Saccharomyces cerevisiae S288C: one gene and its partner. The protein of the gene in region 1 binds, or shares a complex with, the protein of each later gene. Links are inferred from orthologs where the notes say so. Each region holds a gene or a part of one and is shown on either strand. Other genes may lie near its edges.

Region 1 (10,933 bases):
TGTCTATTTGGCCATTATGCCAGTTTAGATACGCCACGGAACTAGTAGCGGCTAGAATTGCACCGACTCTCAAGGCAGTCCATGACTGTGTGCGTTTTCTTGAGTCTTGTTCGAACGACTTGGATTTTGGAACGGTAGAACCGTACGCGCGGATTGTGTTCAATCTAGTCTTAGACGCTCTGAGGATAGCAGCCTCACAGTTCTTCGAGATTTTTAGTAAAGGTTTGTATTTTAGCATTGACTACTTTTGTTTGCTTTCTTCTCTATGCGGGAACTGTATTAGCGACATAGGATGTAAGAATACGAAAAGATGCAAGAAGATTAGTCGACCAGGTACTTATATATTCACATACTCCAACTGAAAGTATTGGAGATCTAAGGTTCAGCAGTTGGTTCTTGGCGGTTCTTGTATGACATTATTATTGGTCGGGTCGTAGTTCTCTCGAACAGGAGGAGGGGGCAAGGAGATATCGGCAGGCTTTTTGCTAGCGCCTTGTTTGAAAAGCGTGGGGGTAGGTCTCCAAGCGATTATTGAGGAAGTAGTTTCAAGTATTACAGAGTCCAGGGCACAAGGGTCTTCATTATAGAGAGAGAATTTTCGTGAAAAAAATGGGCAGAATGCCACATGTTAGCAATGCAACGACTTGAGTGGGGGGTGATCCTTCCGATGTATGCGTGAAAGATCTCGTGTTGTGCAGGAAAGGGAATCATTTCGGAAAAAAAAGATGCAACAAGGAGGATGGCATGTGGATACTACGTTCTTGCGTAATATCCTTTTTGTTGCCTGTGTTAATACGTGAGCAACATTTTTTGTTAAAGTAGGCGATCAACTATTGCCCCCTGATATTGGTAGTAATTCTGCTAAAATATCGGCTGAGAAATGGTGATTCTCAAATAATTGCTGGGATTCCACTGGATATGGCCCCATTCTTAGATATATGGAACGTAGTAGAAGGCCTCTTAGAGGCTATGGGAGTCTCTCAAGAGAAAATCGACATTTTTACGTAATCATTCGTTCATTTCACTTTATACGTCATGATTCAATATCGTATTACTTTATCAAGTACCCGCGTTTAAACTTCATTAAATGACTGCGTCTCAATCTTTATGTCATCCTCCCTCCGCAAGTGACAATGTACTGGTAAAATAAAAACTAACTAACTAGATGATATTTTTAGAGTTTTATTCCAACGTTTCTCAATAGGCGATGGAGGAACAGAGTGAATATAAGAGGCTCTGTGGATTTATGGTTACCGGATTTATTTCGTAAATTCTTATTGAAGAATGGGTGAATTTTGAGATAATCGTTGGGATTCCATTTTTAATAAGGCAATAATATTAGGTATGTAGAATGTACTAGAAGTTCTCCTCGAGGATTTAGGAATCCATAAAAGGGAATCTGCAATTCTACACAATTCTATAAATATTATTATCATCATTTTATATGTTAATATTCATTGATCCTATTACATTATCAATCCTTGCGTTTCAGCTTCCACTAATTTAGATGACTATTTCTCATCATTTGCGTCATCTTCTAACACCGTATATGATAATATACTAGTAACGTAAATACTAGTTAGTAGATGATAGTTGATTTTTATTCCAACACTTATATTCTATATATCCATAACATTGTCTACATATAATCCGAGAGGTTACGACAACATTCATATAATAAGGGTAGTACTGACACTTTATTTTGAAGTAAATCAAAATAGTCACTCTCGGTAGCCAAGTTGGTTTAAGGCGCAAGACTGTAATTTACCACTACGAAATCTTGAGATCGGGCGTTCGACTCGCCCCCGGGAGATATTTTTTTTCCCTTTTTCTCCAGGCCTAGTGAGGTTTGAGTTTTGAACGTTTTATAGATAGATGTAAGGTAGCCAGAATGAGCACTTAGCCTTTAAAGTAAATTGAGTAGAGATACGTAAACAGTCGTGATAAATATGTAATACATTGTATTATTTTAAATAGGTTAAATTTTCTTTTTTTTTTTTCCATTTCATTTTCATTTTCATTTCCTGCAGTTATTTTTTTTCTTATTAATCTATATCCATGTAATCGTTAGCGATATTGTTGTTAGTCAACGCGGCCATGGCAGTACCGGGTGCTTGTGATGCAATTATACTTTGGGATGGTAGAAGATGATACTGGTGTTGTATAATACTAGCACTTCCAGTAGGACTCGTGCCTGTTATGTCGCGATTAGTGTTACCGAAATAACCATGAATCATGTACTCTTCTGTTTCAGAATAAAATTCAGATTCGTTCAGTAAGCGGCTGTTCATAGTGTGGTGCATACTAACCGGTTTCAGGGGACATATTTCGATATTTTTTTTATAATGAATATTATTGTAGGTTGCAGTATTATTGCTGTTATTATGATTATGGTTATTATTATTATTATTGTTGTTGTTGTTGTTGTTGATGATGATGTTGTTGTTGTTGTTATTAAGATTAGCACACCCGGAACCGACCGAAAACTTTGTACTTACAGAATCTCGTTTTGTTCTCTTCGATCTTTGGTAGAAAGTGTGTGTATCAAACTCGAAATGGTCATTTTTTCTTTTATTCATGATCGTATCATTATTGGCGTCGCTGTTGTATGTAGTGGCGGCATTGCTACCGGAATTGCAATTGTTTGTTTGGAACGCAGTATTGTGTTCATAGTATGAGAGCATTTCACGCAGCACACTTGAGTCTTAAATTAATGAATAAAAGCAGCCAACCCCAAGAAAAAAGAGCCCTTATCTGTTTCTGTCGCAGTCCTATTGTATTCTTCCTAACTATATAATTTTGTCAAAATGAAAAATATAAAAAAAATAATAAAGTCAGCTGAGTGGTAAAGAGAAAGCAAAGGGAGAGAAAAATCGGTTACCCAGATGGATTAGGTTACCCAGATGTCATACGTGTATCATGATTTCTAGAAATTATTACCCTGTTTGGTACCATGACAACGGATATGGCAATCTTGCATTAAGTAAAATGTCTCTAATGGGACCGTGAAGGTACAAAACAGCAATGGTCTAGGTAGTGGCATTCGAAGCTTCGAAAGCGTGGCCTCGCCTCGAGCGTGAAGTCATATTTTCTCACTCTGCACTGCCGTGCTGTGCCATGTAGCCCACTGTATGCCTCTAGCACCCCAATCGGGAAAATTGTAAACATTAGCAGGTGTCGCCTCGAGGCCCCCGATACATTTTTCAACATCTCCTCGATACTTAAACAGCAAACAAACAAGCAACACCCACGCAAGAAGATTTATTAATACCTCTTGACTCCCGTAGATATTGAAGAGACTAAGTATAGTAACGCATATCCGCACAATACTATGGTTAAGGTCTGGAATATAGTACTACGTCTGGTAGTGTTGCTGTTTTTAGCAGGTAATACCTTGCTGTTAATTTTGATGATTATATCTGGTGCCACGGACCATTACCCCGTGAACAGATTCTATTGGGTGCAGGGCAATACAACAGGCATACCTAATGCTGGGGATGAAACACGTTGGACGTTTTGGGGCGCCTGTCTACAGGATAAAGACGGGTCGGATACCTGCACAAGCAATTTGGCACCTGCATACCCCATTTCCCCAGTAGATAACTTCAACACACACATCAATGTCCCTCACCAGTTTATTTCCAAAAGAGACGCTTTTTACTACCTGACTAGATTTTCATTTTGTTTCTTTTGGATTGCGCTTGCCTTTGTAGGTGTGTCGTTTATCCTTTACGTTTTGACTTGGTGCTCGAAGATGCTTTCAGAGATGGTGCTTATCCTCATGTCTTTTGGGTTTGTCTTCAATACGGCAGCCGTTGTCTTGCAAACGGCCGCCTCTGCCATGGCAAAGAATGCTTTCCATGACGATCATCGTAGTGCCCAATTGGGTGCCTCTATGATGGGTATGGCTTGGGCAAGTGTCTTTTTATGTATCGTGGAATTTATCCTGCTGGTCTTCTGGTCTGTTAGGGCAAGGTTGGCCTCTACTTACTCCATCGACAATTCAAGATACAGAACCTCCTCCAGATGGAATCCCTTCCATAGAGAGAAGGAGCAAGCAACTGACCCAATATTGACTGCCACTGGACCTGAAGACATGCAACAAAGTGCAAGCATAGTGGGGCCTTCTTCCAATGCTAATCCGGTCACTGCCACTGCTGCTACGGAAAACCAACCTAAAGGTATTAACTTCTTCACTATAAGAAAATCACACGAGCGCCCGGACGATGTCTCTGTTTAAATGGCGCAAGTTTTCCGCTTTGTAATATATATTTATACCCCTTTCTTCTCTCCCCTGCAATATAATAGTTTAATTCTAATATTAATAATATCCTATATTTTCTTCATTTACCGGCGCACTCTCGCCCGAACGACCTCAAAATGTCTGCTACATTCATAATAACCAAAAGCTCATAACTTTTTTTTTTGAACCTGAATATATATACATCACATATCACTGCTGGTCCTTGCCGACCAGCGTATACAATCTCGATAGTTGGTTTCCCGTTCTTTCCACTCCCGTCATGGACTACAACAAGAGATCTTCGGTCTCAACCGTGCCTAATGCAGCTCCCATAAGAGTCGGATTCGTCGGTCTCAACGCAGCCAAAGGATGGGCAATCAAGACACATTACCCCGCCATACTGCAACTATCGTCACAATTTCAAATCACTGCCTTATACAGTCCAAAAATTGAGACTTCTATTGCCACCATTCAGCGTCTAAAATTGAGTAATGCCACTGCTTTTCCCACTTTAGAGTCATTTGCATCATCTTCCACTATAGATATGATAGTGATAGCTATCCAAGTGGCCAGCCATTATGAAGTTGTTATGCCTCTCTTGGAATTCTCCAAAAATAATCCGAACCTCAAGTATCTTTTCGTAGAATGGGCCCTTGCATGTTCACTAGATCAAGCCGAATCCATTTATAAGGCTGCTGCTGAACGTGGGGTTCAAACCATCATCTCTTTACAAGGTCGTAAATCACCATATATTTTGAGAGCAAAAGAATTAATATCTCAAGGCTATATCGGCGACATTAATTCGATCGAGATTGCTGGAAATGGCGGTTGGTACGGCTACGAAAGGCCTGTTAAATCACCAAAATACATCTATGAAATCGGGAACGGTGTAGATCTGGTAACCACAACATTTGGTCACACAATCGATATTTTACAATACATGACAAGTTCGTACTTTTCCAGGATAAATGCAATGGTTTTCAATAATATTCCAGAGCAAGAGCTGATAGATGAGCGTGGTAACCGATTGGGCCAGCGAGTCCCAAAGACAGTACCGGATCATCTTTTATTCCAAGGCACATTGTTAAATGGCAATGTTCCAGTGTCATGCAGTTTCAAAGGTGGCAAACCTACCAAAAAATTTACCAAAAATTTGGTCATTGACATTCACGGTACCAAGGGAGATTTGAAACTTGAAGGCGATGCCGGCTTCGCAGAAATTTCAAATCTGGTCCTTTACTACAGTGGAACTAGAGCAAACGACTTCCCGCTAGCCAATGGACAACAAGCTCCTTTAGACCCGGGGTATGATGCAGGTAAAGAAATCATGGAAGTATATCATTTACGAAATTATAATGCCATTGTGGGTAATATTCATCGACTGTATCAATCTATCTCTGACTTCCACTTCAATACAAAGAAAATTCCTGAATTACCCTCACAATTTGTAATGCAAGGTTTCGATTTCGAAGGCTTTCCCACCTTGATGGATGCTCTGATATTACACAGGTTAATCGAGAGCGTTTATAAAAGTAACATGATGGGCTCCACATTAAACGTTAGCAATATCTCGCATTATAGTTTATAAAAGCATCTTGCCCTGTGCTTGGCCCCCAGTGCAGCGAACGTTATAAAAACGAATACTGAGTATATATCTATGTAAAACAACCATATCATTTCTTGTTCTGAACTTTGTTTACCTAACTAGTTTTAAATTTCCCTTTTTCGTGCATGCGGGTGTTCTTATTTATTAGCATACTACATTTGAAATATCAAATTTCCTTAGTAGAAAAGTGAGAGAAGGTGCACTGACACAAAAAATAAAATGCTACGTATAACTGTCAAAACTTTGCAGCAGCGGGCATCCTTCCATCATAGCTTCAAACATATTAGCGTTCCTGATCTTCATACCCGTGCTCAAAATGATCAAACAAACTGTTATTGCCAAGAAATAAACGCAAGGCTGCCTTCAAAAACTGATCCATTAGATCCTCATATCAAGCTTCCTCATAGAACGCCCAATTACAATAAGCATGTTTTGCTGTTATCACCGGGTGATAGGTTTGCTCAACCATGGAAGGTAGCATGGAATCATAATTTGGATACTAATACAAATCGGCCATATAATGCCATTAGTAAATTGCGCTCCCATTTAGGTGGTTCTCCAGGAATACTAATAAATGCGGTGCATTTGCAAAATGAATTTATTCCAAGGCCAAAACAACACGATGAATGGCTTTATTTTTTTGTTATTCCTGACATGAAGCTTTATGTAATTAAGGAAACGGACATCGAGGAATTTGCATCTTTTTTAGATGAAGGAGCTATTCAAGCACCAAAGCTATCCTTCCAGGATTATTTAAGCGGTAAGGCCAAGGCTTCCCAACAGGTTCATGAAGTGCATCATAGAAAGCTTACAAGGTTTCAGGGTGAAACTTTTCTAAGAGATTGGAACTTAGTCTGTGGGCATTATAAGAGAGATGCTAAGTGTGGAGAAATGGGACCCGACATAATTGCAGCATTTCAAGATGAAAAGCTTTTTCCTGAGAATAATCTAGCCTTAATTTCTCATATTGGGGGTCATATTTTTGCTGGTAATGTCATTTTCTATAAACTATTCGGCAGAGAAAAGATGCAAAACAAGCTGGATTCATTATGGTTTGGTAAAGTTTACCCACACAACTTGAAGCTGTTATGTGAAAACTTGGAAAACGGTAAAATCATCGACGAAATGTACAGAGGTGGCATATCGATGAATTAAAACGGTTTCCTTTTAAAACAGAAATAAAGATGAGGTGAAATTTTATATTTCTTATATTTAAAGCTATCATATATTCCTTGTACATATATTTATTAAGAAAATACATTAACACGCCTTTATACTTGGTATTATTACTGTAAAATCATTACATGTAATTTGTTCTGACTTCGTTGATTGTTTGAATTATATCCTCCACTTGTACACTCTTTAAATTTTTGGCCAAAAATTCCTGCTCATTCAAGGAAAGTCTCAGGAAATTTTCACATAAATCACCATCAATAACTTTACGTACAGGGGCATAATAGCTTCTGTATTCTTGGTGGTCTCTACCTAAAATGGAACAGGAACCCTCACATATTATTTCATCCTCTATACCATGCCGTCCTTGTAACACAACACTTCCAGATTCCTCTTCATCGTCTTCCTTACGCATATTGTTATTCTTCTTTCTTGATTCATAATCTAAATAAAACGTATCATCCGCCTCAGCCATTATATTCTCAATGTTTCCCATCATAAAAACATTCCCCTTGGATAATAAGGGGATAAAGCATCCCACGGTTCCTTGTAAGCCCATATAGATACAACCAGGTCTATCAGAATTTGAAAGGCTGTCCAGGATATGGAAATCAGTGATGATATCATTAACAAAGAAGTGGTTCAGTAGTTGAAACTTGAACTTGCAATCATAAGTATTGGGTAATTTCTGCTGTAAAGTGATGACGTCTAGTGGGTACTTGATGGCCCCATTAGATAATTCGCTGGGATCATGATTTGACATGATTTTTTCGCACTCTGGTGGAGACCTTAAAGTCCACGCATTTCCATATCTATCAGCGCCTATAACAGTTGCCTCATCTAGAAATTTCAATACCGTCACATGGCGTTTTACAGAGTCATCTACGTACGGAATAAATACATTCCCCGCAGGATCCCAGATAAATAAAGTGACAGATTCATGTATATCACCAACGGCCAGTCTTTCATAATTCCACTGGTGCATAGACACAATTTTTGTTATGGATACCGGGGTCTGTGTTACGGACCTTCTTAATAATTGCTTTTTCCCCAAACCATAAAGGACAATAGTGGAGCCCATGGCTGTCAGCAAGAAGTTTTTAAACTTCAACATAGCATGTATTGGTGAAATGATTTCTGTTTGGTGAAGTAATTCAATATCAAAAGATAGTTTATCTTTGTTAACTAATATCTTGTATGTTAACAGCCTTTTGTCGCCAGCACAAATGATCAAATGATCAGCTTGTCTTGTGAAATCTATTATAGCAGCGGAAACGCAATCGATATCGTCCAGTATCTTGTATAAATGATCCGAACTGCCAAACTTTAAGCATTCACCATCAATTTGCAGTGATATACGGCATTGTTTCTTACCACTGTGATTATCAATAAACAAAATGCTTTTCGGATTATTGGGAAATGATAAAATAGTACGAGGTCGGAATGTAGATATTTGTAACATTTCCATTTCTTCTTCCATTTCATCTTCTTCCTCTTCATTGCTTTCATCTCCTCCACCGTTCTCTTGCTTGTTAACACTTGATTCATGAACGTGAAACCAGTTATCCAAAGTTGGAAAGTTGGAAACTCTGCCAATATTTAAGCGTCCTGAGCTCGATATTGAACAAACACCGTTGATTGCAACATCTGCGTTAACAAATTTGGAACAACTTAGCATGTTTTGATCCTTTAACTGCCGTATGGTCCACACATTTTTCCACGTGTAGCTTACCCATGTAGAAGAGGAATGGCAAACCACGCATGACATCCATTTAGCTCCACTACTATTTATTTCTTCTTCTTCTTTTTCATCATCATCGTCTTCTTCTTCTTCTTCTTCTTCCTCATTATTTAGTGATACAGATATCTCACGCAAATACGAAAGGGAAACAGGCTTCAAGCCAAGGAATCGCCTTTTTATGTCAGTGAACGATCCGTCAACATCCCCTATATGAAATTTCATGTAAACGCCATTTTCTAAACCTACATGCAAATTAAGCTGTCCTATTGAGGAATCTCTAACCATTATCATGTCAGAAATCTTTTCACTAACTAATTGCAAACTTATTACAGTTAAAAAATCTTCCTTTTGGTCTTTAAGAGACATTATTTTGATCATACCCTCATTGTCAGCAATGGCTAATAAATCAGCATGCTGCGTATCTTGCACAATCGCAACTTTAGAGGGCATTGTGTCCAATTCTGGGTGGGTGGTTAATTCGATTAACGAATCCGAAGATACATCTATCTTGAAATAAACCAATTCGTAATTTGATAATGATATAATTAGTTGTGTTTTCGAGGACGTGGCACATACAATACGAATTCCCGCTGGTGGCACCCAAGTCAGCTTATTAGAATACCTAGATTTACCAGTCGGTACGATATGTCTTAGTTCTGCGGTGCATACTTGGATAATAGAGTGTGAGCCCATTAGGCATGTATGAATTGTTGTGTCCTGAGAGAGCTTGAAAGCTGAACGCGTTGCTTCATCCGGTGTTAGTTCCTCCATGGACTCGTTGTCAATTTGTAGTATCATAGTTTTCTTGGGAAAAGTTATGAACAAAAGAGTATTGTTATCGCCGGTTGTTGCAGGATCGGGTATTAGCCATAACTTGGTTGCGTTCGGGGGTAAACTAGTAGATATCAAATTAGAGTAATTCACAGCATTTGTTAAAGTTATTATCTTGTTGTTTGTAAAATGTTTAGTGGCGATAGACAGTGGCGAATCACTGACAATTTGAGATTTTATTGAAGGGTTCAAATTCAATTGTTGCGATAATATGCTCAAATTCTGCAACTTTATGGATGGTTCGAAAACTAGCGACTTATTTGGATCTTTTGAGGTTAAAACATTAGAAAAATCATTTTTCTCTACACCAAGTTTCTCAAACTGGAAAAGAAAGTTGTTATTCATTTCAGATAGTGCAAAAAGATAACCGTTTTTGAAAATGTGTAATTGGTGTGAATTTTGGATTGTATCAAAGTAGGACAATTGAACTAAAGGTCTATTTCTATCATTAGTGTCTGGACTTACAGTTAACTTAAAAAGATCGCCATGGTTAGATTGTAAAAGTACGAAAAAATCATTTTTCAATTTCTGCACTATGCCTGATATGATTGTTACATTTTTATGACGGCTATTTGTGATAGATCTTTTGGGTATTTCCACTTTCAGGCTGAAAAATCCGTTCATATCCTTTACCAGAATATGATTTTCGAAGCCTATGACAACAAAAGGGTTGAAAAGGGTATCATAGTCAGCATCATAGTTGTTGTCGCTTAGCGAAGTTGTTATATTATATCGCGATAGATCTGGCAAACTCAGTACGAAATTGGCAGATGGGTTAACTAAATAATCTGCCTTCTTGACGATGTGATTCAAACCCAACTCGAGGACATAAAATATCAAGTGTACTGATAGTTGAGTAGCGGCATTGTCGATTTCTAAGGTAACAAAACATGGATTATTGAAATTTACATCAACAACTGCCATATCCAGCGTTACCATATGGGGTCTGATGATTTCCAATGGAGACGAAATCCTCAATTTTTGAGCATAATCAACGAGGAAACACAATTTATTTTGTTCGACAGATGAGAGAATGATACAACGCCCATTAGGGTCAATTTCCATGTATGATATGGGAGAGACTCTTCGAAGGGTGGTCCTCGTCAATGGCTGGTTCACTAAAGTCTTAAGTCTAAGAGCACCTGCATGCATAATGATTTGCACGATACTTAGGTTACCAGAATCGGAAGTTAGCGCTAGAAAAGTGGGCCAGTTGGAAGCTTTTGCCCTTGACCCTGAATGCGGCAGATCCAGCGACTTCATCGAGGTTATCGTCGCAAACAGGTTTTGAAACTTGGCAATAAGCTTTAGTTCCCCATCTGCAGTATCATAAAGTTCT
Region 2 (12,521 bases), on another chromosome or scaffold:
AGCTCTGGTCTTAGTTTGATGCAGTCATTAGCCGCATCATACCCAATGGAACGGCCCAAAATTACACCAGCATAATTCAGATCAAACCCTTGGATAGTATACACACTACCTACCTCATCAATCGTGTCGCAACGCTCACTCCAAGGCGTCACTTCACGTGGAGTATAGCGATCCCAGCGAACTTTGAAATTGTCACCACATTCAACGTAATAGTCTTTTCCGTCCAAGCGATAGGGAAAATCGTAAGTAGATAGCATCCTACATTGGCCGTATTGACGGTCTTTCTCCTTGATTGCCTCGTACATGGCGCCACAATCATCCCAAATTTTGAAATCAAAATTCTTAATTTTATCGTCAGCACAATCTGCATTGCCCTTAGATAGCACAGATTCAATTGGTGGGATTTTACCTGCGACACTAATTTGGTCAATCCAGTTCAACACGTTTTGTGGGGCAGCAACCCTAAACTGCTGTTTTAAAGTGTACCAGTCTCTGGATTTTGGTGGAATCTCGTTGTAAAAGTCCTTTAAAGTGGCACCGTTATTAGAACCTTCATCCCAATAGGAACCCATTCTTAAAGCTTGCTTATCATCGTAAACCAATACAAGCACTTTACAAAGGGACATTAAGTCTTTGAGATGGTTTTCGCCATAAAATCTTTTGAAAGCATCCTTAGAAGTGGCCAACAAATGTGCTTCATCTACAATGACTACATCGGCCATGACTTTTCTCTTCTGTAGATTGTTGATCAACGAAGTGGGCCGTTCTAGTGACGATTTAGAAATATATTTGAAACTGTCACTAATCCGGATATATAACTTTAACATCTCGGGATGGTTGACTACCAGATAATTATGTGTCCCATGTAAGATATCTTCAGAAGAAGGTGAGAACTGGGATAGTTTCTGAATTTCATTGAACAAGGAGTTTAGAATCACAGACTTGCCTGTACCTGCGTCCCCTTGGATTACAAACATGGCCGGATGTTTCCAGTCAGACTTGTACTGAGATAAGTTGGAACGCATGAACGACAAAACGCGCTCTCTCAACTTTTCTTGTTCAGCAGAGAGTGTTACGTTAGACAACTTGTTCATAGCCTGCGTGGAGACCACGGGCCTAGGTGCTCTTCTTGGTCTCTTCACGCTTCTCACATTGCGGGAAATAGCTTTTGAAGTAGGCCCATGCATTTTATATGGTTCTAATGGAAGTTAAATGCTACTACCGGGTCGCCAAGAAAGATGCGATGCCATGCTGCATACATATGCATAGATTGTTTATATATGGCGATGGCTGCTTTTATGATTTCTCGAGAAAATTTTTCACTTTTTTCGGCCCTTTGAGATCTAAAGCCTCTTTTTTTTTTTTTTTTTGAACTGCATCGATACAAGAAGAATAGGGGGATGGGAAAGGCTTAATTGGAAGCACTGAGAACAGCAATTCACTCTGGTTGTTAGGTTGTGCTATTTGGTCGTGCTATGAATTGGAAGTCGTACGTTTTTCCCGGTGGTCATCCACCAGCTGCGTTGACCACAGGCCTTGTGGTATTTCTAACCGCTATTTACCTGTTAAGTTTTATTTTTGCCCTAAGGGAAGACCTGTCGTTGGCGCCAGAGTCATTGTTCAAACTGCAAATGAGCAGGCTATCGCTTTATCCTTTAATTCACCTATCATTGCCTCATTTACTGTTCAATGTGCTAGCCATCTGGGCACCCTTGAATCTCTTCGAAGAAACGCATGGGACTGTGTACACAGGTGTTTTTTTGAACCTGAGTGCTCTATTTGCCGGAATTCTGTACTGTTTGTTGGGTAAGTTGCTATATCCAGAAGCATTAGTTGCAGGCGCCAGTGGGTGGTGTTTCACCTTATTCGCATACTATAGTTTTAAAGAATCACAGATCCGCCCTAGAACAAGGATCTTTCGCACAGACTACTCAATTCCGACATTATATACACCCCTAGTACTATTAGTCGCAATTGCCGTCGTTATACCTGGCTCCAGTTTCTGGGGTCATTTTTTCGGCTTATGTGTCGGTTACGCCATAGGCTACAAGGAATCGTGGTTTAACAAGATCACTCCACCAGGATGGATCATCACCAAAATCGAAAAAAGTTTAGACGGTTTAATTCGATTAATACCTTGGGGAATTAAGTATTACAGAGATGAGGATATCGACAGAACTAAAGATTACGAACCGTTAATGTCCACAGAAACACCATTGCCTCTCCACAATGACAACTCCGGCACTGTCCTAGGGACTGCCTAGACATTTGTATCGCTATTCTTTCTTTCACAGTTTAAGGATGTATATAAATGTAGTATATATCATTTTATATTCTAATATGCAAGAATTTTCAGTCTCTTCTTTTTCCTTAGCGTGCGTTTATGAAAAAAAATGGAATATGAATAATTACTGGGAGGAAGACCAGGGGCAAGGGGTGAACCATCTTGTCATCTGAAATCTTGTATAAATAATTTAGTAATCAGTTCTTTAGGTTTTCGAGAGTGGCATACAACCTAAAGGGTCAACAGACAACAAGAAGGAAAGGAATTATAGGAGCAAATACACGCCCTTCAAATGGATCCCTTTCACAATGGCAATAAAAGGAGCTCAATATCGTTTGGCTCATCGCAGCGGCAGCCATATAACAAGAACAATTACTTGAGTGGTACTAATGGGCCTTCCTCGGCGGCACAAGATCAAGGTAGAGGCCCATCTCCCTTTGGAATGTCTGGCAACACTACCAATGGCGGTAACAGCAAAAGGAATAGTGGCTGTGACCTAAGTGCCACGTACTATGCAAGTCGATCGCCGATGTATTCACCGTTAGATTTCTCGCCACCAGTTTTTTCACCAAATCATTCTCAGTTACAGCAGGCGAGGGGCTATGCTGCAAATATTCCGGTTGTAAGCAATCTGATGAACCCTTCCATGGCCTCCGTGTGCGAATATCAATCACACTATCCACTCTTTGGGCTCGATTGGAGCGCCGACGACTACGTCTGCTTGGGTTCGTACAAAGAGGACAGCAGAAATAAGTTGCAGGTTCTGCACTCTAATGATCTACTGAGCTGGGAAAGCGTAGTGGACGCAGATGTGGTTTATCCTGTGAGCAAAATCCAATGGGTCCCCTCTCAATTGTATCCAAGGAAACTCGCGACGTGTTCTGACTCCTTACGGATTTGGAGCGTTAGCCCTGAGGAAAGACAGTTCCAAGAACAAATAAATCTATCTCTGTGTAAATACAATAGACAGCACCCCGCCAATCCCGCGGCCGCAGATGACATGAAGGTCATAGGCACTTTCCCACCAATAACATCATTTGACTGGAACACGGTCGATACTAACTTGATAATCTCAAGTTCCATCGACACCACATGCATTGTATGGGATCTGCAAAGCAGTCACTACGTTAAGACCCAATTGATCGCTCACGACAGCGAAGTTTTTGATGTAAGGTTTTTGACAAAATCGACCCAATTATTTGCTAGTTGTGGTGGGGACGGTAGTGTACGAGTATTTGATTTAAGATCGCTTGCGCACAGTACAATTATTTACGAGCCTCCCTCTTCCTCAGTGTCTGGAGCCACTGCGGGTACTATAACACCGTCGTCGAAAGGTTCGGACGCCTTATTGAGGCTGGAGCCATCACCGTATGACCCAAATGTGTTGGCCACTTTTGCAGCTGACTCGAACAAAATCATTATTCTAGATATGAGGAACCCAGAATCCCCTATACTAAACTTACAAGGCCACGGTTCTTCGGTAAACGGGATTAAATGGCATCCCACAAAGCGCAATGTTTTGCTCTCGTGCGGAGATGACTGCCAGGTGCTCTATTGGGACTTGAACAGCTCCTTTATGGAAATTAACGCTGCAGGTAGCAAATCCCCCAGTATTCATGGAACTTCCTTGGAGGACCCTGACGGCGACACAGAGATGACAGACGGTGGCGCAGGATCCGGTTTAAACGAGGATCCCTTAAGTTTAAACAACAACAGCAAGCAGGTGTGCAAGACACTAGAGACTCCTAACATGATGTATGCCAATAAAACACAAGAGATAAACAACATTGCATGGAGGCCCCAGAGGGGCGATTGGTTTGGGTGCGTGAGCGGCAAGAAGTTTCAAAACGTCCGCGTCCTTTGAGACAGCATTCGCCCAGTATTTTTTTTATTCTACAAACCTTCTATAATTTCAAAGTATTTACATAATTCTGTATCAGTTTAATCACCATAATATCGTTTTCTTTGTTTAGTGCAATTAATTTTTCCTATTGTTACTTCGGGCCTTTTTCTGTTTTATGAGCTATTTTTTCCGTCATCCTTCCCCAGATTTTCAGCTTCATCTCCAGATTGTGTCTACGTAATGCACGCCATCATTTTAAGAGAGGACAGAGAAGCAAGCCTCCTGAAAGATGAAGCTACTGTCTTCTATCGAACAAGCATGCGATATTTGCCGACTTAAAAAGCTCAAGTGCTCCAAAGAAAAACCGAAGTGCGCCAAGTGTCTGAAGAACAACTGGGAGTGTCGCTACTCTCCCAAAACCAAAAGGTCTCCGCTGACTAGGGCACATCTGACAGAAGTGGAATCAAGGCTAGAAAGACTGGAACAGCTATTTCTACTGATTTTTCCTCGAGAAGACCTTGACATGATTTTGAAAATGGATTCTTTACAGGATATAAAAGCATTGTTAACAGGATTATTTGTACAAGATAATGTGAATAAAGATGCCGTCACAGATAGATTGGCTTCAGTGGAGACTGATATGCCTCTAACATTGAGACAGCATAGAATAAGTGCGACATCATCATCGGAAGAGAGTAGTAACAAAGGTCAAAGACAGTTGACTGTATCGATTGACTCGGCAGCTCATCATGATAACTCCACAATTCCGTTGGATTTTATGCCCAGGGATGCTCTTCATGGATTTGATTGGTCTGAAGAGGATGACATGTCGGATGGCTTGCCCTTCCTGAAAACGGACCCCAACAATAATGGGTTCTTTGGCGACGGTTCTCTCTTATGTATTCTTCGATCTATTGGCTTTAAACCGGAAAATTACACGAACTCTAACGTTAACAGGCTCCCGACCATGATTACGGATAGATACACGTTGGCTTCTAGATCCACAACATCCCGTTTACTTCAAAGTTATCTCAATAATTTTCACCCCTACTGCCCTATCGTGCACTCACCGACGCTAATGATGTTGTATAATAACCAGATTGAAATCGCGTCGAAGGATCAATGGCAAATCCTTTTTAACTGCATATTAGCCATTGGAGCCTGGTGTATAGAGGGGGAATCTACTGATATAGATGTTTTTTACTATCAAAATGCTAAATCTCATTTGACGAGCAAGGTCTTCGAGTCAGGTTCCATAATTTTGGTGACAGCCCTACATCTTCTGTCGCGATATACACAGTGGAGGCAGAAAACAAATACTAGCTATAATTTTCACAGCTTTTCCATAAGAATGGCCATATCATTGGGCTTGAATAGGGACCTCCCCTCGTCCTTCAGTGATAGCAGCATTCTGGAACAAAGACGCCGAATTTGGTGGTCTGTCTACTCTTGGGAGATCCAATTGTCCCTGCTTTATGGTCGATCCATCCAGCTTTCTCAGAATACAATCTCCTTCCCTTCTTCTGTCGACGATGTGCAGCGTACCACAACAGGTCCCACCATATATCATGGCATCATTGAAACAGCAAGGCTCTTACAAGTTTTCACAAAAATCTATGAACTAGACAAAACAGTAACTGCAGAAAAAAGTCCTATATGTGCAAAAAAATGCTTGATGATTTGTAATGAGATTGAGGAGGTTTCGAGACAGGCACCAAAGTTTTTACAAATGGATATTTCCACCACCGCTCTAACCAATTTGTTGAAGGAACACCCTTGGCTATCCTTTACAAGATTCGAACTGAAGTGGAAACAGTTGTCTCTTATCATTTATGTATTAAGAGATTTTTTCACTAATTTTACCCAGAAAAAGTCACAACTAGAACAGGATCAAAATGATCATCAAAGTTATGAAGTTAAACGATGCTCCATCATGTTAAGCGATGCAGCACAAAGAACTGTTATGTCTGTAAGTAGCTATATGGACAATCATAATGTCACCCCATATTTTGCCTGGAATTGTTCTTATTACTTGTTCAATGCAGTCCTAGTACCCATAAAGACTCTACTCTCAAACTCAAAATCGAATGCTGAGAATAACGAGACCGCACAATTATTACAACAAATTAACACTGTTCTGATGCTATTAAAAAAACTGGCCACTTTTAAAATCCAGACTTGTGAAAAATACATTCAAGTACTGGAAGAGGTATGTGCGCCGTTTCTGTTATCACAGTGTGCAATCCCATTACCGCATATCAGTTATAACAATAGTAATGGTAGCGCCATTAAAAATATTGTCGGTTCTGCAACTATCGCCCAATACCCTACTCTTCCGGAGGAAAATGTCAACAATATCAGTGTTAAATATGTTTCTCCTGGCTCAGTAGGGCCTTCACCTGTGCCATTGAAATCAGGAGCAAGTTTCAGTGATCTAGTCAAGCTGTTATCTAACCGTCCACCCTCTCGTAACTCTCCAGTGACAATACCAAGAAGCACACCTTCGCATCGCTCAGTCACGCCTTTTCTAGGGCAACAGCAACAGCTGCAATCATTAGTGCCACTGACCCCGTCTGCTTTGTTTGGTGGCGCCAATTTTAATCAAAGTGGGAATATTGCTGATAGCTCATTGTCCTTCACTTTCACTAACAGTAGCAACGGTCCGAACCTCATAACAACTCAAACAAATTCTCAAGCGCTTTCACAACCAATTGCCTCCTCTAACGTTCATGATAACTTCATGAATAATGAAATCACGGCTAGTAAAATTGATGATGGTAATAATTCAAAACCACTGTCACCTGGTTGGACGGACCAAACTGCGTATAACGCGTTTGGAATCACTACAGGGATGTTTAATACCACTACAATGGATGATGTATATAACTATCTATTCGATGATGAAGATACCCCACCAAACCCAAAAAAAGAGTAAAATGAATCGTAGATACTGAAAAACCCCGCAAGTTCACTTCAACTGTGCATCGTGCACCATCTCAATTTCTTTCATTTATACATCGTTTTGCCTTCTTTTATGTAACTATACTCCTCTAAGTTTCAATCTTGGCCATGTAACCTCTGATCTATAGAATTTTTTAAATGACTAGAATTAATGCCCATCTTTTTTTTGGACCTAAATTCTTCATGAAAATATATTACGAGGGCTTATTCAGAAGCTTCGCTCATATAACGAAAAAAAAGGGTTTGGATCGAACGTAATTGAGATTGATTAGTTAATACTCAAAATAAAACAGCTCCTACCACCAGTGTAAAGTAGAACGTTAATAGAGCAATGTCTTCAGACAAATCTATTGAGAAAAATACAGATACGATCGCCTCTGAAGTTCACGAAGGTGATAATCATTCGAATAATTTGGGTTCAATGGAGGAAGAGATAAAATCAACGCCATCAGACCAATATGAAGAGATAGCTATAATTCCAACTGAGCCCCTCCATTCGGACAAAGAACTAAATGACAAGCAACAAAGTTTAGGCCATGAAGCACCCACAAATGTATCAAGAGAAGAACCTATTGGGATCTCTGGTGATGAAGACACCCAAATCACTGAACAAAACGTTAATGAACAAAGGCAAGAAACGAGAGAACCTAGTTCTGAAATTGATTTAAATGAGCCATTGGATGTTGAAAAAGATGTGACAACGGATGTGCAAGCCCCAAATGGGCTGAATATTGAAAAAGAATATGATGCAGTCAAAGAGAATGAGAAGGTTTACGCTGATACGAAAGAGGTTGTTAGTAGTCCAGAAAATAGGGAAGTAACTGGAAAAAATTCTGGAGGTGAGAAATCATCCTCGAGTAAATTTCTCGATGACGAATCTGGTACTACGACAGCTGCAAATGCGAACGACATTTCTATAAGTAGTGAAGTAACCCCAGAAAGGTCGTCAGAAAATGATAATAACCAGATTCATATTACCAATGAGGTAGCCGCAGGAATAAACTTGAATGAAAACAAGGAACAAAAAGCTGCTATAGAAGATGGGCCCGTAACAGCAGAGAATCTTTCCTCAGAAACTGCTAGGAAAGTACCACCTATACCCACACAAATCATAAATGAAAAAGGTGATAACTCAAGCGAGAACGAGGTTTCCGCAATTCCCACTACATCTTCGCCACCATTACCACCTAGACAAAATGTTGCGACATCAACGTCACCAAAATTACCTCCAAGGGGCAAACAAAGGGAACAACCACCGAAGACGAAGAATGCTGTTCCACCGCCACTAGAGGAAGAAATGAAGTCAGAGAAGTTCCGTAAAAACTTCGAAGAAACTAAAAGAAATAGTTATCATCATGTTCCTCTCACTGGTTCCAAAACTGCGCAATTAGAGTCCACTGCAGAAATTAATTTGATCGCTAGTCGTTACCGCAAGACCAGTCACCATTTGAATAAAGAGGGGGAAGAAACTAGAGAGTCGTTGCAGGAAGGTCAAAGCTTTTTAAAATCGACATTTACGTCATTTCTGGAGAACTTGTCCGAGTATAACGAAGTGGAGAATGTTAATGAAGAAGATAGAGAAATGTTTAAAATTGATTGGTCCTTCTGGACTCAAGTAGTTAATGATTATGCTACAGTGGCAAGCAACGAACCAGAAAATTTAGAAGCCCATGTTACCAATGGGATACCACCACAAATTCGAGGTATCATTTGGCAGCTGATGGCGAATTCCAAATCAAGAGAAATGGAAGATATATATGAAACTCTATTGGATACCGAATGTCTTCATGAAGCAACAATACGTAGAGATTTAAGGAGAACGAAGTTTGTGGCCGAGGACAAAATGGAGTCACTATACAAGGTAATAAAGGTGTATTCTGTTTATGATCCAGATGTTGGGTACACGCAAGGCATGGGGTTCATTGCAGCGCCGCTATTAATAAACTGTGAAAACGAGGCCGAATCTTTTGGACTACTCGTTGGATTAATGAAGAATTATGGATTAAGAGAGCTTTTCTTACCAGGAATGCCTGGGCTGATGTTAATGCTTTATCAATTTGATAGATTATTAGAGGAGCATTCACCTTCTTTGTACAATCGCTTGATCCGTGAGGGAATTAGCTCCACAATGTACGCTACACAATGGTTTTTGACATTTTTCGCATACAAGTTTCCGTTAGAGTTTGTGTTAAGAATTTTTGATATTGTATTCGTAGAGGGTATTGAAGTGCTTTTGAAGTTTGCTGTAAATTTAATGTTAAAGAATGAAGAAACTTTAGTAAAATTGAGATTCGATGAACTATTGGATTTTTTAAAGGACGAACTCTTCAATTACTATTTAATGGGAAACCAGGATGACGCTTCTGTAGTGCAAATGGGATTGTCAAATGGGAACTCATTTAAGGGCAATGATGACGGCACTTTTTCCTACAATGTCGATCTTTTCGTTCATGATGCAATGACAGGTGTATATATCACACCATTAACATTAAGAAGATACAGGGGAGAGTACGTAGAAATCCATGAAAAAGAGCAAAAAAAAGAGGACCACTACGAATCACTAAGAATTCAAAACCACCAACTACAAAGAGAGGCGCAGAAGCTAGAACACGACTATTCAATTTTGAACAAAGAGAATATCAGCGCCGCTAACGAGCTGATTCAGAACAGATTGAATATGGAGATGCTGTTGGATGAAAAAAACGACCTGATAAATACAATCACTGATATCAAAAGCCAAATTGAGGAAGAGATTCGCAAGCAAAATTTACCGAACCCGGACGCGTCACTACCAAAGGCAGATCTGAGAGAAGACTTGGAAAGGACCATATCCAGGAACAATGAGGTGATGAGGGAGAACGGCCAATTAGAGGAAAGAATCACTGAACTGCAAGCGGAAATCGATGAGTTGATTAACATCAATAAGGAGCAAGTGTCCACGGCATCGTTATTGGAACGAGATTCTAAGGCTAAAGGGAGGAAAGGCTGGACTGGTTTTAAAAAAGTTTTTAAATAGATGTATAGTTTTGCGCTGTGTGCACATTGTGTGCCTCTCCAATTTGTGTTAAAAAATGCATCACGACTCGTTTAGACAATGTTGTTGTTGTTGTTTTTTTTTTGACTGTATTTTCACCCGTACATCCACGGATGTGTTGGGTTTTTGTTTCCGCTTTACCGTGCGGGAGACGACCATGACCGAGAGGTCTGGTTGCGAAAGACGCACATACCGCGTGCGCGGAACTTTTTCATTGGGTTGCCAACCAAGGCTGTTCAGGGAAGCCCGACGAGGGAAGCTAGCATGAATGCACTAGGAGAGAGAGAGAGAGAGAGGCAGAGGAAGAGGCACATCATTGCATTTCTTGAATATTCGTTTTAATTAGCGTTAAGTCTTAAGTTCGTGTATTACCATAGTCAAAACAGAATAGAGAAGCAAGGATAATACAAAATGGCTGTCAAGACTGGTATGTTTACCTGAACTAATGAACTGTAGAGCAAAAGCAAAATGAACTGAACCACTAAGCCAACAACAGAAATACAAACAGGATGAGATTAAGCTCCAGAGATATGCAAACATCGTTTATATCCTGCACCCAGCGTTGCAGTACTCCGTGGAGTCTTTGTTTATTTATTTTGCTCGTATACTACGTGAGTACTAGTGTGCTTGTTACTAACATAAGATATTCTATTTTTTTCCTCTAGGTATCGCTATTGGTTTGAACAAGGGTAAGAAAGTCACCCAAATGACTCCAGCCCCAAAGATCTCCTACAAGAAGGGTGCTGCCTCCAACAGAACCAAGTTCGTCAGATCTTTGGTTAGAGAAATCGCCGGTTTGTCCCCATATGAAAGAAGATTGATCGATTTGATCAGAAACTCCGGTGAAAAGAGAGCCAGAAAGGTCGCCAAGAAGAGATTGGGTTCTTTCACCAGAGCCAAGGCTAAGGTCGAAGAAATGAACAACATCATTGCTGCCTCTCGTCGTCATTAAACAGCGTGAGGGGGCCACAGTCAAGCAAATCCAACTCCGCCACAAGACCGAGTGCTATTTTCCATGGCTCTCCCCCAAAGCTAGTTAATAAAAAATAAGTAACAAATCATTATAGTAATTCTTAATCGATATCTATTTAAGAAGTGTAACAGCACATGCAATGAACCGACTTCGTCATTCATTACCTCTGCTTTTCCCTTTTTCAACAGTCACGTGCGCATCTCCCTTCCGGGTAAGCACCGCACATGCCAAAGACCCTATCCTGGCTCGCCCACTCACTCATCTCCATTAGAGACTCAACCACATTTGTGGGTGTGTTACAGAAGTTACACCATACCCACTGTCCTGGTCCGCAACAGTTGCAAAATCAATGATGCCTGCTACCGTCATGCTATCATGACAAACGATGGCACCTTTGCCAAGCAAAAAACTGTAAACAAAACCAAACCAAGAAGTCCCTTGGGGTTGTGAGCCATATTCTCCATCTGCGTTGTTTCATAACCAGCCCAAAGGGTTGCACGTTCTCTTCCGTCGATCTGGAACCAAGCTGTGGCGCTGCGTGGAACCGTCCGGAAATCTACAGAAGCCGTTAGAAGAAAACAGAATAAACACACGTGACCCCGTCAGTGTGGAAAGCCGCGGGATCACCACCGTTATTCGTTTTTTTTAGCACGCGCGCGAAGATGACACATTGCACACCACATGTTTATGACCATTGTTATTACTCATTTCACTGTTATTTTGCATCCACATCCACACCCGGGTGGTTTTGCAATTCGGTAATTACTCCACGGTGCATAAAGAAGCGGCTCTGCGTAAAAAGGTATATATAAGAACAGGACTCATCTTGATTTCGGAAAGGGTCTGGAGCAACTCTCTTTCTTTCTTACTTGTTTTATTCTTGAGAAAACCAAACTAAATTGGCTACACCAAACCAACCAAACTTACACACAATAATATACAATTACAATTATTTACAATGTCCTCTGTGGAATCTTCCCCCATCTCGCGCTATGAAGACGAGGTCTTCCCTCTTTCGTTTTCAAACGTTGCTTTCGAGCCCCCTATGCTCTCGCATAGCCCGGACAGATCGACTTATGCCGATGACTTTTCTCAATCTTACCAGCAAGAATTGCTAACTTTTCCGCTATCGTACCCGATTGTCGATGAGTCAGAATGCACGCACACTAAAGATAAGACGGACAGCAACATAATAACGAGTACTGAAGACGATTGCATGTTCGATATGGAATTTAACGGCAACGCCGCCAGTGCAGTTGCTGCTGCTAGTAAGGAATCTAACTCTGCCTCTGGGTTTGCCTTTGCAAGTAACGATGCCTTTGCCAATGTCGCACAACAGAACTACAGACTGTGGTTGTCATCGGTATGACGCATTTTACCACATCTCTACTTGTTCTCACGACCCCTTGCATCGCATATCCTACAC

Evidence for each region.
Region 2: the proteins of GAL80 (region 1) and GAL4 are in contact, whole or in part, in a crystal structure (PDB 3E1K), measured with the Kluyveromyces lactis proteins. The link is inferred for Saccharomyces cerevisiae S288C from one-to-one orthologs. Residues at the interface, in XP_451363.1 of Kluyveromyces lactis: Trp31, Lys34, Asn182, Gly184, Trp185, Pro191, Asp309, Ala310, Gly311, Phe312, Ser316, Asn317, Val319, Tyr321, Val368, His370, Arg372, Asn373, Ser376, Val377; in XP_453627.1 of Kluyveromyces lactis: Leu847, Phe848, Asn849, Thr850, Thr851, Thr852, Met853, Val856, Tyr857, Tyr859.

What each region holds. Positions count from the first base shown.
Region 1 is NC_001145.3:167,071-178,003, forward strand, and holds GAL80 (transcription regulator GAL80), read left to right. Parts: upstream 1-4,523; coding exon 4,524-5,831; downstream 5,832-10,933. Other genes in the region: CYB2 (L-lactate dehydrogenase (cytochrome)), read right to left, coding at 1-238; YML054C-A (uncharacterized protein), read right to left, coding at 553-711; YML053C (uncharacterized protein), read right to left, coding at 2,046-2,684; SUR7 (Sur7p), read left to right, coding at 3,332-4,240; AIM32 (Aim32p), read left to right, coding at 6,069-7,004; U2 snRNP complex subunit RSE1, read right to left, coding at 7,150-10,933. UniProt on the Saccharomyces cerevisiae protein: This protein is a negative regulator for the gene expression of the lactose/galactose metabolic genes. It binds to GAL4 and so blocks transcriptional activation by it, in the absence of an inducing sugar.
Region 2 is NC_001148.4:74,252-86,772, reverse strand, and holds GAL4 (galactose-responsive transcription factor GAL4), read left to right. Parts: upstream 1-4,416; coding exon 4,417-7,062; downstream 7,063-12,521. Other genes in the region: YPL245W (uncharacterized protein), read right to left, coding at 1-1,187; putative rhomboid protease RBD2, read left to right, coding at 1,476-2,264; YPL247C (uncharacterized protein), read left to right, coding at 2,577-4,148; GTPase-activating protein GYP5, read left to right, coding at 7,420-10,104; 60S ribosomal protein eL36 RPL36B, read left to right, coding at 10,534-10,549, 10,788-11,074; ATG41 (Atg41p), read left to right, coding at 12,054-12,464. UniProt on the Saccharomyces cerevisiae protein: This protein is a positive regulator for the gene expression of the galactose-induced genes such as GAL1, GAL2, GAL7, GAL10, and MEL1 which code for the enzymes used to convert galactose to glucose.